2 linked regions of the Oryzias latipes genome follow. The protein of the gene in region 2 interacts with the protein of the main gene of each other region in a biochemical or structural test. Links are inferred from orthologs where the notes say so. Each region holds a gene or a part of one and is shown on either strand. Other genes may lie near its edges. The genes, in order: sema4c and disks large homolog 4.

The links.
Region 1: the proteins of disks large homolog 4 (region 2) and sema4c form a complex in vitro, tested with the Homo sapiens proteins (2 studies listed by BioGRID and IntAct, with this or other methods). The link is inferred for Oryzias latipes from reciprocal best matches to the Homo sapiens genes DLG4 and SEMA4C.

Annotation. Positions count from the first base shown.
Region 1 is NC_019867.2:24,339,224-24,347,377, forward strand, and holds part of sema4c (semaphorin-4C), read left to right. Parts: intron 1-454; coding exon 455-570; intron 571-1,493; coding exon 1,494-1,651; intron 1,652-2,353; coding exon 2,354-2,445; intron 2,446-2,602; coding exon 2,603-3,498; 3' UTR 3,499-4,927; intron 4,928-7,628; 3' UTR 7,629-8,154.
Region 2 is NC_019872.2:14,404,386-14,412,539, reverse strand, and holds part of disks large homolog 4, read right to left. Parts: intron 6,197-8,154; coding exon 6,052-6,196; intron 4,713-6,051; coding exon 4,577-4,712; intron 4,448-4,576; coding exon 4,291-4,447; intron 4,189-4,290; coding exon 4,086-4,188; intron 3,711-4,085; coding exon 3,596-3,710; intron 3,009-3,595; coding exon 2,832-3,008; intron 2,742-2,831; coding exon 2,699-2,741; intron 2,624-2,698; coding exon 2,593-2,623; intron 1,263-2,592; coding exon 1,212-1,262; intron 1,095-1,211; coding exon 993-1,094; intron 823-992; coding exon 650-822; intron 1-649. UniProt on the Homo sapiens protein: Postsynaptic scaffolding protein that plays a critical role in synaptogenesis and synaptic plasticity by providing a platform for the postsynaptic clustering of crucial synaptic proteins.

The sequences.
Region 1 (8,154 bases), on a different chromosome or scaffold from region 2:
CCTTGTCCTCTTTGGCACATTATATTCAAAACCCAAAAAAGACAGGAAAAACTCTTGTGGAGGCGCTCAGGCTGCAATCTATAGTGGATATTTGGGTTTGTAGAGAGGTCAGGTGTTAGAAACAGGCAGGTGTCTGTAATGGAAACCCCTGCATGAGCCCAGAAAAACCTCCAAAAGCCACTGTCGAAGAACACAGTTCACCAAGCGACCCGTGAATGCAGCTCAAAGCTCCATCGTGCAGAGAAGTGGCCACATATGAACTCAGCTTTAATCCAGACAGAAGGGAAAAACATCCAGCAAATATAACCACTACAAATGACAGCTGTATGCTCCGACAGCCTGTGTTCAGTAATGTGTTTATGCCTAATTAAACTGTTTGGTGCTCGAGTCAACCGGCTGTGCTGTATCTCTGTTTCGCACAAAGCCCGTCTCATGGTTCCCCTGTGTGTTGCAGAGGAGGGCTGGCTGCAGAGGGTGGTGATCCTGGGCTCTGAGGCGCACGTGATCGAGGAGATCCAGCTGTTTGAGACAGCGCAGCCTGTGGACAGCCTGACCATCTCCCACTCTAAGGTAACCAAAACACTCCTGGCACTGACGCACACAGATCAGCTCCGAAATGCGGGGAAGGATATTTTGTTTGCTGAGGAATGTGTTGTGTCAACTCTGGAATGTTCTTGAATAGCTGTGGGTTTCTTCGCGTAAATATCCAGTGTCAGTTTTTTTTAGGAAAAAAACATGACCCTGACTCCTTTTTATTGCTTTGGATTGAGGAGGGTTTGAAGAGGATGGGGAGGGGGGGGGGCGGAGCTTGGCAATGGCTTAAATCACTGCAGTGCCGCTCTAAAACCTCTCACCTTCATTTACTTCCAAATAGAGTTTTTATTTACTGCAGCAGAGAAGCTCATTCTGCAGCAGCGCCGCGGCTCAGCATGGTCATCTCTGTGTGTTCAACTTTCTGTCTCTCTCAGAGATGAGACTTATGTCTCTGTCATGAAAACGCACAAAATAGTCCCAACTCTTTAGTTAAATTGGTTTCTTGGAGGTTCTACTAGAAAATCCCCAAATATCTTAGAAGTATCCTCATTTCTTTGATGGTTTCCTGCAGCAGAGAAATTGTCTCATCAGCTGGTCTCATGTGTCCCTGCAGTCATGCAGCATGGCGTCTGTGGATCGATGGTCTTTTAGCTGCGTGTTCTCAGTGCTAAAGCCCTCCGCTTATCTCGTTAATGCGGGCTTAGCCGCGACAGAAATATTTTATGACCGCTTTTGCACAAAAAAAAAAAAAGGCGCAAACCAGATTGGATTGGAAGAAGGTCAGAGGCTGCATGTTAATGTAATTGAGAGTGATTATCCCATTATCTCCTCCAACCCATAACTCCGTCCCTCGCTGTTTATCTTTCCTCGCCCATCTCTCCGGCACTCTGGTTTTTGGTGGACTCCCCCTCCGCCTCATCTGTCCTTCTCTCACGTTTCTTTCTGCCGTTTCTCCGCAGAAGTACTTGTACATCGGCTCCCGCTCTGAGGTCCTGCAGCTGCCCTTGGCCAACTGCAGCCGCTATCAGTCTCAGCCGGACTGTCTGCTCGCCAGGGACCCCTACTGCGCCTGGGACAACGAGGGGCGAGCCTGCGTCCGCATCGACCTTCACCGAGGGTGAGACCCGTTCGGCCTCTCGTGTACTTGATATATCGAGGGGAATCCTGTTGCTATGGAGGTTCCTTATGGACAAGTGAAGCCTTGAAATCCCATATTTAGATCAGGGGTCTACAACCTGAGGCCCCGGAGGCTCTTTTTAGTAACATGTCTTGGTGCATCAAGCAAAACAAAACTGTCAGATAAGTCAAACTTTATTCATTCATTCACAAACAGTTGAAGCACAAAATGTATCACTCCTCCAGGCTCCTGACTACAGTACCCATAATGCTTCTACAATCCATCATCAAAAAGTGCGGCTTCACTGTTTACCAAAGTCAAACCTTTTAACAGATTTTTGAGCGCCGTGTACCACAGAAAATCTTAAGGTCAGCAAGCACAACGGGAATTCATATTTAAGGCGGACCGGATTATAAGGCGGACTGTCTATTATTGAACAAAATTCAAGGATTTTAAGTGCGTTTTGTGGTCTGAAAAATGTTTAAAAATTCACTTAATTAGTTCCTATGTAATTTTAGTTGGTGGCACAGATTTAACAAGGTACTGGAAACATTCCTCAGAGAGTTAAATACAAATCAGTGTCTTATTTTTCTAAAGGAAGTCAGACTCTGTCTCCTCTGCTCAGTATGAATGTCCAGCTCATTCTTAGTTCATGTAAAAAATGAAAAATAAGAAAGCTAAATCTCCTCTTCTTGTCTCCAGGTCCACCTCCTCCCTCTCACAGGACCTCATGCTGGATCGGTTCAGTCGTGGAAAAGCCAAGTTCGATAAGCCGGTATCCATTCCCAGCCCCGGTGAGGACAAGGCTGCAACTCACTAGTGGCCCCTAGTGGTAGTGAGCTGTCAATACATGCACTGCACCGCATGTGTAGAAAGAGCAGTTGATTATAGCTAAAAAAAAAATGTTTTCTTCTCTTGACCTTACTCCCCCCTCTTCTCCAACCCCCACAGAGCACTCCCGCCTCAGAAACGTTACGGTGGTCGTGGGGTCGGACATGATGCTTCCCTGTCAGCTGGTGTCAAACCTGGCGCAGCCATGCTGGGTCCTCAATGACCGTGAGCTCCAGCTGGGGGACTCGGAGGCACGAGGGCCACGCTTCGACAGAACCCTAAAGGCTCTCGTGATCCCAGAGGCGGGGCAGATGCAAGCGGGCCGATACGTCTGCTACTCTGAGGAGCAGGGGGTCAAGTTCCAGACGGAGCGCTATCAGGTGGCGGTGGTCGCCAGCGCTCCGGTGTTCATGGAAGCCCGGGCGCCAGACAGCAGCATGGGCCTCTTCTGGGTGCTGGTCATCACACTGGGGGCGGCGTGCCTGCTGCTCCTTGTGGCGGCTCTCTACCTGCGCAGGAGGCTGAAGCTGGCGCTCGGGAAGGGGGCTGACATGAAGCCACTCGAAAGCACCCTGGTCTACCCAATCACGCTGCCCAAAGACCCGCCCACATTTGTCCCAAGCAAGATGCCCACCGATGAAGACCGGTTCTGGGAGACGGGTGCAAACTACTACTACTCTGACGGCTCGTTGAAGATCGTCCCCGGCCACGCCCTAGGCCCCAGCAGCGTCAGCAGCACGGCGTCGCCCAGCGCCATACCCGGCCAGCCCATCCACTCCCCCAGCCGTCTCAGCCTCACCAACATTCGAGGCTCCGGTAGCAACGGCTACATCCGCCTCAACTTGAGCACAGCAGGGGAGGAGAGGGCTAGTGGGGCTGGTGCTGGGGGCGGCGGGTTGGGAGGGCTGGGCGTGAGCGGGAACGACTACTCGAGCCCCTTCAAGGAGGAGCTGAGACGCACCCTGCAGCAGAGAAGCGTCCTGCCCGATGCAAACCCAGAGGAGTCGTCCGTGTAGGCGCCTCCTCCGCCTCCACCCAGTTGGAAAACAAAAACAACCGACCTACCTCCCTCCTTTTGAGGACGCCTGCTCTCCGTTAGTGACACGCCGTCGACTCCCATGCCGTCTCTTCTTTTCCGCCAACACCTGTTTGGCTCCTGTAGACATTTCTGGCACACAGCATGTTGAAACCACACGTCTGCACTCCGCACTCGGCGACATGCGCTCTCACGATTACCGTGTCTTTGGCGACACGCCGTCACGGTTTTTCTGCTTCCACTGTGCGACTGCCACTTGTGTAAATTTTGTATTTAAAAAAGGATGAACACAGAGGAGATCACCTCAAGCATGGAAACCGAACTGAAGGGTGTTTTTTTTTGTTTCTCTCTTAAGTTGAGCCCTCCACCTACAAGGAAACTGGGCAACCTCCTGGAATATGGAAGGGATTCCTTTGAGACTTTTACTGCACTTACAAAAATGGAAGCATGTCTTCCTCCCTTGTTTTGTACTAGTGAGCCAGGAGGGGAATGTAGTTGGAGACTCCAAAGACTAATGAATCTCCAGGCAAGTCGACAATCATGTCCCCGTGACAGGAGCTCCTGGGTGGGACAGAAAGGAGAACAGAGACAGGCAAAAACGGCGGAGAAGTGAACTGGAGAAAAAGGACATAAACGAGGATTTCTCAATGAAGGACAATCTTTAAAGACTTTGTACCTATATGAAATACCCGCCCCCTTTCCTATGTTTTATTACCGCTTTGATTTGATGTGATAGTTTGAATTAAGATGTTTCTTGTTGTGCTTCTTTCCCCTCTGTCTTACGAACGACACCGGTGTTTCCAGAGTTTTGCAAAAGACTGACTTTTTTTTGGCTGGGGGGACTCGCTCAGTCCTGCACGCCGCCCTTCTAGTCCAACGCACGGCGGGGTGGGTCGCTGTTTTTGGATGCTCTTTCGCCTGCTCGGGAAAAGAGAAGCTGTTTGGTGCCGAGCGGCGTCACAATTCTTGCACAGTTGATTCCAAACTGAAGAAGACATGAAGACATTAGGCGCAAAGAATGTAGTCGAACCCTCATCGTCGTGACCGCTGTGGATGTTTCATTAAGTGCTTTATATGTAACGCTGTCAGTGGGGGTGGGTACTTGCACTGCCAAGAAGGAAACTACCACTCCGACACACACAGACACAAACACACAATGTAGTACCTGGCATTTTGGGTACAACAGCGCGATTGTGATGCACCTTTAAAGTCCATGAACCCCCTTCCTTCTGACTCCCAGAGACTGACCCGGAGCTACTGTGGATTTATACAGTGGAAGATTCACTGTAACACACACCAACACAAAAAGAACACAGACCCAGTTTGGTAGAAGAGCGGACTGATTGCTGCCATGCTGAGAATTGACTTGGTCCAGGCAGGAAGCAGCTGTGGATCTGAAAAAAGCAGAGGTAATTTCCCTGCCTTTCTTTTTTTTTTTTTACATAGTTTATATAATCCAAATGGTTTTTGACACTAAAGAACTCGAAAGAAGAGGAATAAGCTCAACAAAGACAAATTTCTTCAGAAATTCTGACTGTTTTTTAAGGAATCCCTGAAATTGAAGACCCACTCCGATGAAAATTGAGTTGATGTTTTTTTAACATGTTTTTGGGGCATTTTTCTTACTATGGACAGAAAGACAAAGAAGTAAAAATTGCATTTCTGAGTATTTCTTTATTAAAATGTTGTGAGTTGTGCCAACAGTCCTGCTCCCAACTCAAAGGTAAATCTGTAATGAACTACTGCTTCTCTGTCCTAGAAAACACCAGTGTTTTTTATTTTGCCCAAAAATAACATAATCAGAATTAAAAAACCACTGGGAAAACGTTTACTATAGATTAAAAGATAATTAGAGTGGGACTTTAAAGTCAGAATGTAAATAATAGAATCAGAACTATGGTCTTATTTTTATCAAATGTTTTATTTAACATCATTCCACAGAGCTCCAAATTCTCTAAAGTTTTATCTTTTTCAAATTTCTTGTATTTTTCATTGATTCGTACTTAAATTTCTTTTTTTTTTTACATAGTTTTCTTACATAAACTGTTCTAATTTAGCTTTTAATTTGAATTATTTCAAAGCTTTAAAATATTTTTTTTAAAAGATAACATTATAAATTGTGAAGCTATATTTTATTTTTAATTTGATTAAACACCTTTTTCTTTGATGTATTCTTCAATAACTTGATAACTCACAGAGAAAAGCCTTTTTGGTTGAGCTGCACTCACCTGTGCATTGCAGCTTCTCCTATTTTGAAACCAGTCTCCTCAGAAAATGACACAGCTAGTGTTTCTGAAACCAGCTGCATGTTGGGTTCTTTGTTTCACGCTGGTAACAGGTGACGACAGTTTCATGGTAAAAGCTTGATGGAGGAGAGCCAGCGGTGTACACTGTGGAAGCTCTTTTCCTCTCAGGCGGCCTCTTCTGTTTTTTTGAGCGTCTCTGTCCATGAAGCCCGCTCTGTTTGTACTTTTGACTTAAAAGCTGCCACTTCTTATCTCTTGTTCCAGTTAAAAGTTTAAAGTCTCACTCTAATCGTCTTTGGATCTATTTTTAAATCATTCCTAGTGGTCTTTTAATCATGATTGTGCAGTTTTTAGCCAAAATTGAAAATAAATCTGTGTTATCGTTTCTGCAGAGCGGCAGTACTTCATTATAAATTTACCTCTGAGCTGTGGGTGGGACTGTTGATGCAGAGCAACCCTTCCTTATAGCTGATAGCTCTCTGTTTACATGCCCTTCCGCTACCTGACAGCCCCTCACGGCTGCAACATAAAACTACGTACACACCAGGCATTTTTGTGCATCAAACACACATTCAGCCCATGGTGTTTACACTGGACAAGCAGGGCGGGACTTCGTCTTTTTCTTTTTTTTACTAGTGCATGTCCGCCACCTACAGTTGGAATAGGCTTGGTGCTAAATGTCGGAGAGGTTCAAATCCCACGATTTGGGCACAAAATGGAAACGGTTCGGTTCATTGCAAGCATCCTTGCAATGATTGACAGTGATTACTGCCATATCAGGAGAGTGGCCTTGGTTTATCTTTATTTAAAAAACAAAAATAGGCTCATCGATGTATGTGTTCACCAGATAAACCAGCTACACCCTGAGTTTGGTGAATTTCACTGCTTGCTCCAGGAGCTGTGCCCTGAATTATGGCCACCTCTCCCGGGGCCAATCATCCATACGTCACTACCACATCCAAGTCTCTGATTGGTCGATTTTTGACCTGGATGTGCAATGGCCATGCGTTTTGTACGTAGAGCCCGAAAGGTTTTGATCGTGGAAGCCTGAAACACGCATTTACATTGATGATTTCAATCATTTATATAAAGGAATACCTAATATTCTTTATAAATGTCCTCCATCATCAGAAAAATGCCTCAAGAACACGTTAAAAACACAATTTTCACCAATGGGTCTTTATAGACTGAATGCATTTTATTTATTTATTTTTTAATGTGGAACAATGTGTGCTGCTTCCAGCTTCGACAGCCTCACCTGTCGTCATTTAAAAGGGTTTTCCTCCATGAAGGGTTATTGTCATAATTTTCCTAGAATTCCAGACAGGTTTTTGTATTAGCAAAAGCATTAAACACCAAACAACTGCATTTTCTGTCAGCGTGAGCTGCTCCTGCGCTCCATCTGTGGTTGTAGACTCGAGTTCTTGTCATGTATTGGGTGCTTTGTGACCGGTCAGCCTCTCGTCAAAGATGTCCTAGTACATTGGGGGTTTTTTTATGAAATGCCTTGGGGGGACAGGTGCGTCAGAGAAGCTGCTTTCCTGGCAGCAGATAAGAAAAGAGCCCACACGCGGCCTGCAGCCAGCAGCCGGAGGATTGCATTAAAAAAGAAAGAGATGTGCTCTTGACAAAATATCAGAACAGCTTGACCCGGTTCTGACTGAAACAAGCGGTCACTGACAATTTTCTGATTCATAATTCCTTATAATCTGCCAGTCGGAACCCACAGCTGTCACTTATTTGTATCATTTTGAAAAAACCTTAAGTTAAGGAAGTTTTTCCGAAAATTGATTTCAATATTTCCTCTTAGGCAGAGCTTTTCAATTTTTGTCTGCCACCAACCCATATTTGTTTCCTGTTTTAGCATCCCATCAGCGGTGGCCTTTGGTAGTTCTGCAGATGTTCCCGTCAGGAGATCGGAGGAGCAGCGTGTGCAGGACCGGACCACAGAATAACGCTTCGAGCCCGCCGTGTACAGAGAGGGATGTAGAATATCCGAATGACCTGAAGGCTGAGTCAATCCCAGTGTTGCATGGACTGCACATCATCCTCGTTCATCTTTTTCGATCAACTTTTTTTCTGGACACTAACGCCGTGCGACACTAACGTTCTTTAAAAAAAAAAAAACTGTTGAGCGTCTGATTCCGCTCAAATTCATTGCTGCATTTCAACGTCTTGACTTTTTTCATGTGCCTCTTCGCCTGTTTGGACAAGCCAAAGCAGACTGTGTTCGCTTGTGTTTCCACTCGTCTTCTTCTTCAGCTGCTTTTGATTTAACTCCAGATTGACGTGCGACTCTTGGCTGGCCGTCCTCTTCGGCGCTGATTTTCCACCTGCACCTAATCTTCCCCTCAAGCAGAGGCCAAAACGAGCTTGAAACGAATGGATCT
Region 2 (8,154 bases):
TTATTGTATTTTTGTAGGCAATCAATTGCTTTTAGTTACCTTTTTGATGTAAGGATTTATATTTTTCTAGAAAGAGTTCCACTTTTTGACCCGCTTTTTTAGTTAACTTTAGTGGATGGTTTGTTTTTCCGTATTTTGTGCAGGCAGCCTGTAGCTCCTGCCAGAGGTTCTGCCCACTCACAGCTGCTTGCATTTGGTTAATTTTATATTTTGTATTTGAGGTTCCCCTTCCTTTGTGTGTTTGGTTGTTCTCCATGTTACTTTGCTCTAGTGTTATCCACCACTCTGTGTTAATTTAATGTCCTAGTTTCTGGGTCTCCTTTGTTTGTTTTGATTTTTTAAAATTTAATTTGTCCTTCAATTGACTCAACTGTCAAATGGAGTATTTTGCTGCACTTGGGTCTCCACCTGTTTGCCCACTGTAACAGATTTCTTCAGTTTGTGTTACTAGTTATGTGTAACGTTTTTCTTAACCAAATAGAGTTGGTTTTGAATGATTAAAAAAAAATTTGATAATGAATAAAATTGGTCTTTCAAATTGATTTAGTATTTTAGTATGTGGTATCCAACCAAACACTGTATGTGTTTTGAAGCAGTTATCCATAACTCATACAGATAGTTTTGAATCAACAAATAAGTTAATAGGCACCTGTTCTGCCACCTCTCGGACGCTCTGAACGCTGGTGCCATACAAGTGACTGTTGTACTGGCCAGCCTCTATGAATCTATGGCTTTGGATATCTTTCTCCATCTGTTCCCGTGACGACACAAAATGGTAATCTCTTCCATCCACTTCATAGTCCCTCTTAGGCCTCGTAGTGTCTGTCAAACACAGTAAAAAAAACAGAATGGTACATTTTATATATGCTATAGCAAATGTCAAAAATAAAGCTATTGCTTTTCTGCAGACATCTTGCTCAAGCTGCAGCAGACATGTCATTTAAAAAGTGAGAAACAGGTCAGTCTCCGTGAGTGACAGCACAATTACTCACGAGGGACGCAGGATCCAAACTTATCAGGGAACTCAGACAACAGGTCGTCATTTATCCTGTCCTTCACCGGACCCAGAATGATAATGGGCCTCGCATAATGTACTTATCACGAGGGAAAAGAACAAAAAGAGAGCAGGATTAGACACAAAAGAGGAATCATAACAGAGATTTTATTTGATGCTGAAATGGAGTTTCAAACATTTCACTCCACAGCCTTACCTTCCACTTGAGTGACCGTCTCATAACTTTGTGACATTTTCTTATCTCTCCCTGTTGGCGGAATATAATTGAATTTAGTTTCAGGTTTAAAGTAACTTTTGGGTTTTATATTTGCAAATTAGCATCTTCATAAATCTATGTGAACGTGGCTGTATTTGACTTATGCCAACTAAAAGCAAATCCATCCATTCAAGCTCTTATTCACAAGCACCCGTTTAGGTTGGGTTGACCCTCATGGGTGCTGTGGGTTGTCCGGGCCCGTAGAGGGTCCTAGTGGCTGCATCTTAAGGTCAGCACAGGTGTGTCTTTTAGTTCCCTTGTGGCTCATGCAGCCACCTTAAGGGGGATCATGAAAATGAAACATACGATTATCGAGCATGTGTTACCGTGAAATATTTGTAAGGATAATGTAAGTTACAAACACTCATGATGTCGTGCAGTGCCCTTCCGCAGCACTCCAGTCGTTAGTACGTTGCGAGTACTGCTTCCTTACTAACCTTGCTGCACGCACAGGGAGTGCAGGTGATGCAAAAGGACGCCCAGGAAAACTACGCTCTGATTGTCTAACAGCCAGGCTACGAACAACGGGCGCACACATATAACTTGAACATCACTAACGAGCCCCATGCAGAAAGCGTAGGGTTCAGGGAGGTTGAGAAAAAAGAAAAAATCCTACCATTGTGCCTGCGTCTGACCTACTTCAACCTTACTAACCTATAACCTGTAAGGGCATTTGTCAATAAGGCATTTCATATCTCTCCAGTTTAGAAAGAAAATAGACTGAATGAGAACATTTTAAACTTCTTAGTAGTTAAAAAAAATCTACAAAGTTTAACAGCAGAGAACATGGGCTTTCTCTAAATTTAATTAATTGATGTCTAAGTTATACATTTTTCTTTGTAAAGGAAAAGAAGTTTGCATGAAGTTTAGGGCTGAAAAGTGGTTCCACTCCCATCCATCCACCCATTTTCTTAACCTGCTTTAGCCCTTTTGGGGCCACGGGGTTGCCAGAACCTAACCAGGCTTCAGTTGGTAGAAAGTGGAGTACACCCTGGACAGGTCACCAGCCTGTTGTTGAACCACACAATCACACACGCATACATACTCAGAGTCACACCTAAGGACAATCTGGAGTAATCAATCAACCTATGAAGCATGTTTTTGGACAGTGGGAGGAAGCCGGAGTGCCTGGAGAAAACCCACACATGCACAAGGAGAACATGCAAATTGCACAGAGACAGGACCCGTTAGGATTTAAACCAGGGGCTTCCCACTGTGAGGTGAAGGCGCTAACCACTGCTCCACTCTGGTTCCACTCCCACTCTGACACTTTAATATGGTATATTCTAGCATATAGTGAGGTTTTGTTTCAATTCATCACCTTGAGTGCTCAAGCTGTCTCGACCATGATCCTGCAACAAAGAGAAGATGTCAGATTTACACACAGAAGGACAGATTGGAGCAAGAGTTTCAGAGAACAAACATACCCTCTCTTTGGTGTTTCCACGAGACCAGTCTTTCCTTTCCACTCTGCAAACAGGGATGAGGAGGAATAACAAAACAATCACAACAGAGATTTAAATGTAACTTTATTGAGATGGGATTTTTCAGGAGTTGTACCTGTGCTTGCTGGGAATGAAGCCGACCTCCTCTGCCTCGTTCTGGGGACTGACCCTGCGGGCTTGCCACCACTCTTCGTCCCCGCAGTCTAACACATGCAGCACGTCCCCAAACCGAAAACTAAGAGCTTGACTGAGGAAGCCACAGTCTGCAGTCTTGTCATAGTCAAAAAGAGCCCTAAAACATGGAAAAAAAAGGAACAATGTTTTTCATTTACAAGTATTCCTAACAGCAAATATGTTACACCTTAAGTGCTTCCAATGCCATATTGAATTCTAAACCACTTTAATACCATTTTTCTTTGCTGAAGAATATGAGAATTCCTGGCGCACCCTAAAGGGCCTTAAGTAAACCTACATATTGTCCTTAAAATTTTTTATTTGATCTAAGTTAGGGATGTGCAACTTCAGACCTCGAGGGCCTGTGTGTCTGCATGATTTCCAGATATACAAGCCCCACTCATGACTGATTACCTGGTTCAGATGTGTCCAGCCAATTAGAACATGCCAGAGCAGGGATTGTTGGAAAACATGCAGAAATGTGGCCCTCGAGGCCTGGAGTTGCCCATCTCTAATCTAAGTTGATACAATTCTTTCACATACATATATAAGGAATTTTATTTCTTTACATGACATTATTATAAGTTTTCAGTAAATAGAAACACAACCATTTTTGTCCAAAGGCAGTGGACTTCTCCCTGCAGAAGTAAGCTGCTGTATCGGAATGACTGTGTTTTGTGCTGTTTTCATTTTGCGGTGTGAGACCTGATATAGAAGCCTCTCTTTGGGTTACTCCTCAAAGTTGTTGTTCCAGAGCCCATGCTGCTGTTCATTAGCTGTTCCCTCAGGTCGTGGATTTTTGCCTCAAAGCGGCTGTACTCTGTAGCAGAGAAGACACAAACATTTTGAGACAGACAAGTTTTACATTTCACACTCTAAATGATCACTTGTTATGTGCGTTATCATATTGGTTAGAAAGGTTTTATTTATAAGATATTAAATCATTTTTTATTTCATAAAAGAAAGTATTACAGTCTTGATATGAAAACTAAAAAATGTTACTTAATTTCAACATGAATTTTATTTTAAAATCAGACTCTATGAGATGAAAAAAAATCCCTGCAACATAAACCGTCAGATATTGAAGCCAGGTTTTAGTGGAGTGTAAAAGACATGTTGGCACAGTTATTGACAGGAAACAGCTTTTTAAAATTCTCTCAATGTGCAAGCACATATGCAGAGTTTGTGGTTGTACCATCTGGTCTGTACTGAGCGACGATGGTTACAGTCTGGCCCGCGTTCTTCAGTGCAGCAGCGGCCTGCTCATGTGTGGCCATACGCAGATCCACACCATTTACCTGTTACACACACACACACACACACACACACACACAAAGCAGGAGTGTTTAAGGCCACAGCTAAAGCTATTCCCTAGAATAGATGAGTCAAAGTGTTCTTACACTAAGGATCTGATCGCCTTTGTGAAGTTCCCCGCTGAGGTCTGCTGGCCCTCCAGCCAGGATGAAGGAAATGAAGATACCCTCTCCATCCTCACCTCCAACAATGTTGAATCCCAGACCTGTGGAACCTCTGTGGATCAAAATCCGACGAGGTTCTCTGAAACGATGAAAAGAGGACAATTGGAACTCCTGATAATCAACTATACTCCATTCCTTTGCTAACGCTCCTACTAAAACATCAATCATTATGTCTAGCAAATGTTTTGTTTTAAACAATGATCCTCACCTCGGGATGTCATCGTCTCCCATCATGCCATGCAGAACAGGAGAAAACCGACTTGGCGAGGTTGGAGTGAGGGCTTGTGGGTAATCGGATCCAAGATAACCGGGGTGGCTGAGTTCAGTGTCCATATGGGAATATGCTGAAGGAACACACAAGACATTTTCGGATTTTGGGGGCAATTATTGTACCTGGTACTTGTTCAGCACATATTAAATAAACAAAAAGTTCAATTCAAAGCATTGTTATAAGAGGGGTTCTTTTTGAAGGCACAGAATATTTTTCCACTGAAAGTTTTGAGCCTGTTTTGCATGACAAATGTGTAGTCCTGAATACATCAAGGATTTCTTTTTTAGAGCTTCTTAAATAACGGGGAGATTTGAAGACTGTTTCAAAACATTTCTATGCCTAACCACTCACTAACACTTCAAACTCACTTGCAGCTCACTGCCTTTCTTTGACACAGTTTTGACATTTTTGTGGATAGAACAGTGACCCTGCGACAGACTGGCGAACTGCCCAAGGGTGTACATCGCTGTCACCCAACAGTAGCTGGGATAGGCTCCAGCAGCCCTGTGACCCCCCAATGATGGAAATTAAGCAGGTTTAGGAAATAAATGGATGGATGGATGGATGGATGGATGGATGGATGGATGGATGGATGGATGGATGGATGGATGGATGGATGAGGAATAAAACATGTAAATCTCTAAAAGTGTTATTTTCTTTGGTATCAAATGGGTTTTTAGTTGTTCCTGCGGCTTTGCCACAAAAACAAATTAAAAAAATGACATATATTTTAAGTCAACTTATCCATCTTTATCTGCACTTTACTTTGAAATAGTCACTTGACTGCTGTGAAGCTTAATTATAGTTGTTGTTACTAGATGTGGTCAGCTGGAGGAATCTGACAGGTTAAACTGCTCTAAATGCTCCCCGGGGTTAAATCCGCCTCATTTTTGGCTTCAGCTTTTTGATTTACTTGTTGTTTCCTGTTACTCCCTTTTTCTCATGTTGTGCATTTGTTCCGTCTCTACTATAAAAGCTTTTCCATATGAATTGGCTTTTATTTCTTGCTGTTTTCTTTCATGTGTGTTACAGTCTATATATATATATATATATATATTGTGTTTCTTTATAGCTTTTTGTTCTGTTTTTTGCAGGATGAATGATTTTTATTTTAGTCTTACAATTGTTATAAGCTCTTTTCCTGGACTTATTTGAATTTTTGTTCTTCCATTTTTCATGTAATAATGATGCTTCACTGTAACAGTTTTGTGATTCTGGAAACATGTAAAGGTAAAAAAGCAATACGTTTCATTGATGTTCATTATTTTTCTACGAAGAAAGAAATAATAGAAGACAGAAAAAAGTATTTTATGTTTTCTTTTAAAAACTATTTTATTGTAAAATAAAGACATTTGTTATTGTTTTTCGGGACACCCGAAGTGTCTCTAGAAAACATTCAGGCAAAGGCTTACTGCTGGTGAGGTCTGGAGGGTTGTAGGAGTTGGTTAGGAAGAGGTTGTTGGGCTTGGCCACCCTGAGGTAAACCACCTCGGCTGTGTTTTTCAGAGCCCCCACCGCGTCCTCGTGCATCACATCCTCCAAACACACGTTGTTCACCTGAGAGACGAAGACAAGTTAACCATGTTATTAACAAACAGAATCCATTACCTCTTTAGTAACTGTTTAACAGCTTGGAAGTGATGAAAACTGTATGATGTGCTATAAACTGGAACTACTGCAAAGGAATAAATAAATGAGAATTAGTCGGAACATCAGAAAATAACAACTCTGAAAAGAATTTAATAATAAACATTTTTTAATAATATTATAAAAAGTATTTTCTTAAAAGTAACAACTGATGTAAACTAAAACAATCGACAGAACTGTTTGTTTAAAATGTACTCTATACTTTTAAAGACATATAAAGTGCCCTTTTCTTTAATTGGCCTAATAATGATGCCAATAATTTGAGGTGCATTTTTCCAAGTCCTAAATCTAAATCCAATCCAAATCCAAAAAGACTTTTTTCACTGGCTTTTAGTACAAAATCTTTATTTATTTATCTAGAACATTTTTTAACTTTATTAGAAGTTCTTTTTGCTGGGTGTGACTTTTCTTTTGTTTGATATATTTATTTATTTTTGCCTAGTTTAATGACAGTGGCTCTGGGAACGAGACAGGAAGCAAAGCTGGAAATAGCAGAGATGAAGATGTTGAGGTTTTCTCTGATTGTGATGAGGATGGAAAGGATCATCAGTGAATCCATCAGATAAACAGATCATGTTAGATGTTTTGGAGATAAATGCAGGGAAGCAGATTGAGATGGTTTTGACATGTTGAGAGATGGAACTGGTCAGACTCCTTTCGTGGTGAAAGGAGTCTGAGATTTGGAGCTGCAGGAAAAAGGCCAAAAAGGAGGTTGATGGGTGTAGGATATGAGGATGGTTGGTTTGAGCAAGAAGGAGGCAGAGAGGATTAGATGAAAGCAGATGATTCGCTGTGGCAACACCTGTAGGTAGCAGCCAAATTGCAAAGAGAACATATTTATGTATTTAAAATCACATTCACACAGAACCCTCAATATATACTGTAGATGACGTCAGAGATCATCCTTAGTTTTATTGGTGTGTTAAAAAAAAAAAAAATTTAACCACTACGTCTTTTTTTCTCTTTTTTTTGTTGCATCCAGGTCTTTAAAAATGAGTCTTGCAACTCAGTATCACCAGTCTTAAACATTAGTTCATGTCTTAGACCAGATGCATTTTATTTGGATATTGGAAACGTTGAATCTATCGTTTGTTTTATTTCATTGGTTTATTTGACAGGGACATTGCACATTAAAACACATCTCTGCAAATGTACCAGAGTTAAAAAAGATTATTTTTGATTTTTTGTCCCTAGAAAGGTGGTGCATTTGTCTTCCCAAAAGCGAAGTGAAGTAATCTTGGGAAATGTTCCTCTTTTTTAAATATGATCACAACTCAGTGAATTTGAGTTTTTCCCCATCTTAAAAGCAGCAGGGTTATCTATCGTTCATTAACAATTAATTACCTAAAGTAAAATTTAAAAAGCTGTACATTTTGTAATTAAATGTGCTAAAAAAAATTAAAAAGTGAAGAGCTAAATGTATCCCATTGCTTTATATGTAATACTGTAATGTAAAGGCAGAGGTGGACTAGCAAGGAGCATATTTGTACATCTATCAACAATGCTGCAGAAAGAAAGGCTCCTGAACTGTGATGTTGCAAACATATAAACACGCAGGGGAAATGAAACTGTACAAACATATGTTTATGTGTTTGTACAGATTAATCTCCCCTACTAAAGGTAAAGGTTTAAAAGACACCATTTAGTGGGCAGGAAGCACCATTTTGAGGAAAACAGCTGTTGTGAGTCTCGGTGTTGTCCAGTAGATGGCAGCAAAGACATTGCAGTCAGAGATTTATCAGATGGTTTGCGTTTTTTAACTGGCTAAGGAAAGCAAAAGAAATTATAGTTTTAATAATATGGCTCCTGATATACAATGGTGCAACATTTGGAGACACTATATGAGCACACAGATGTGTGACTTTACG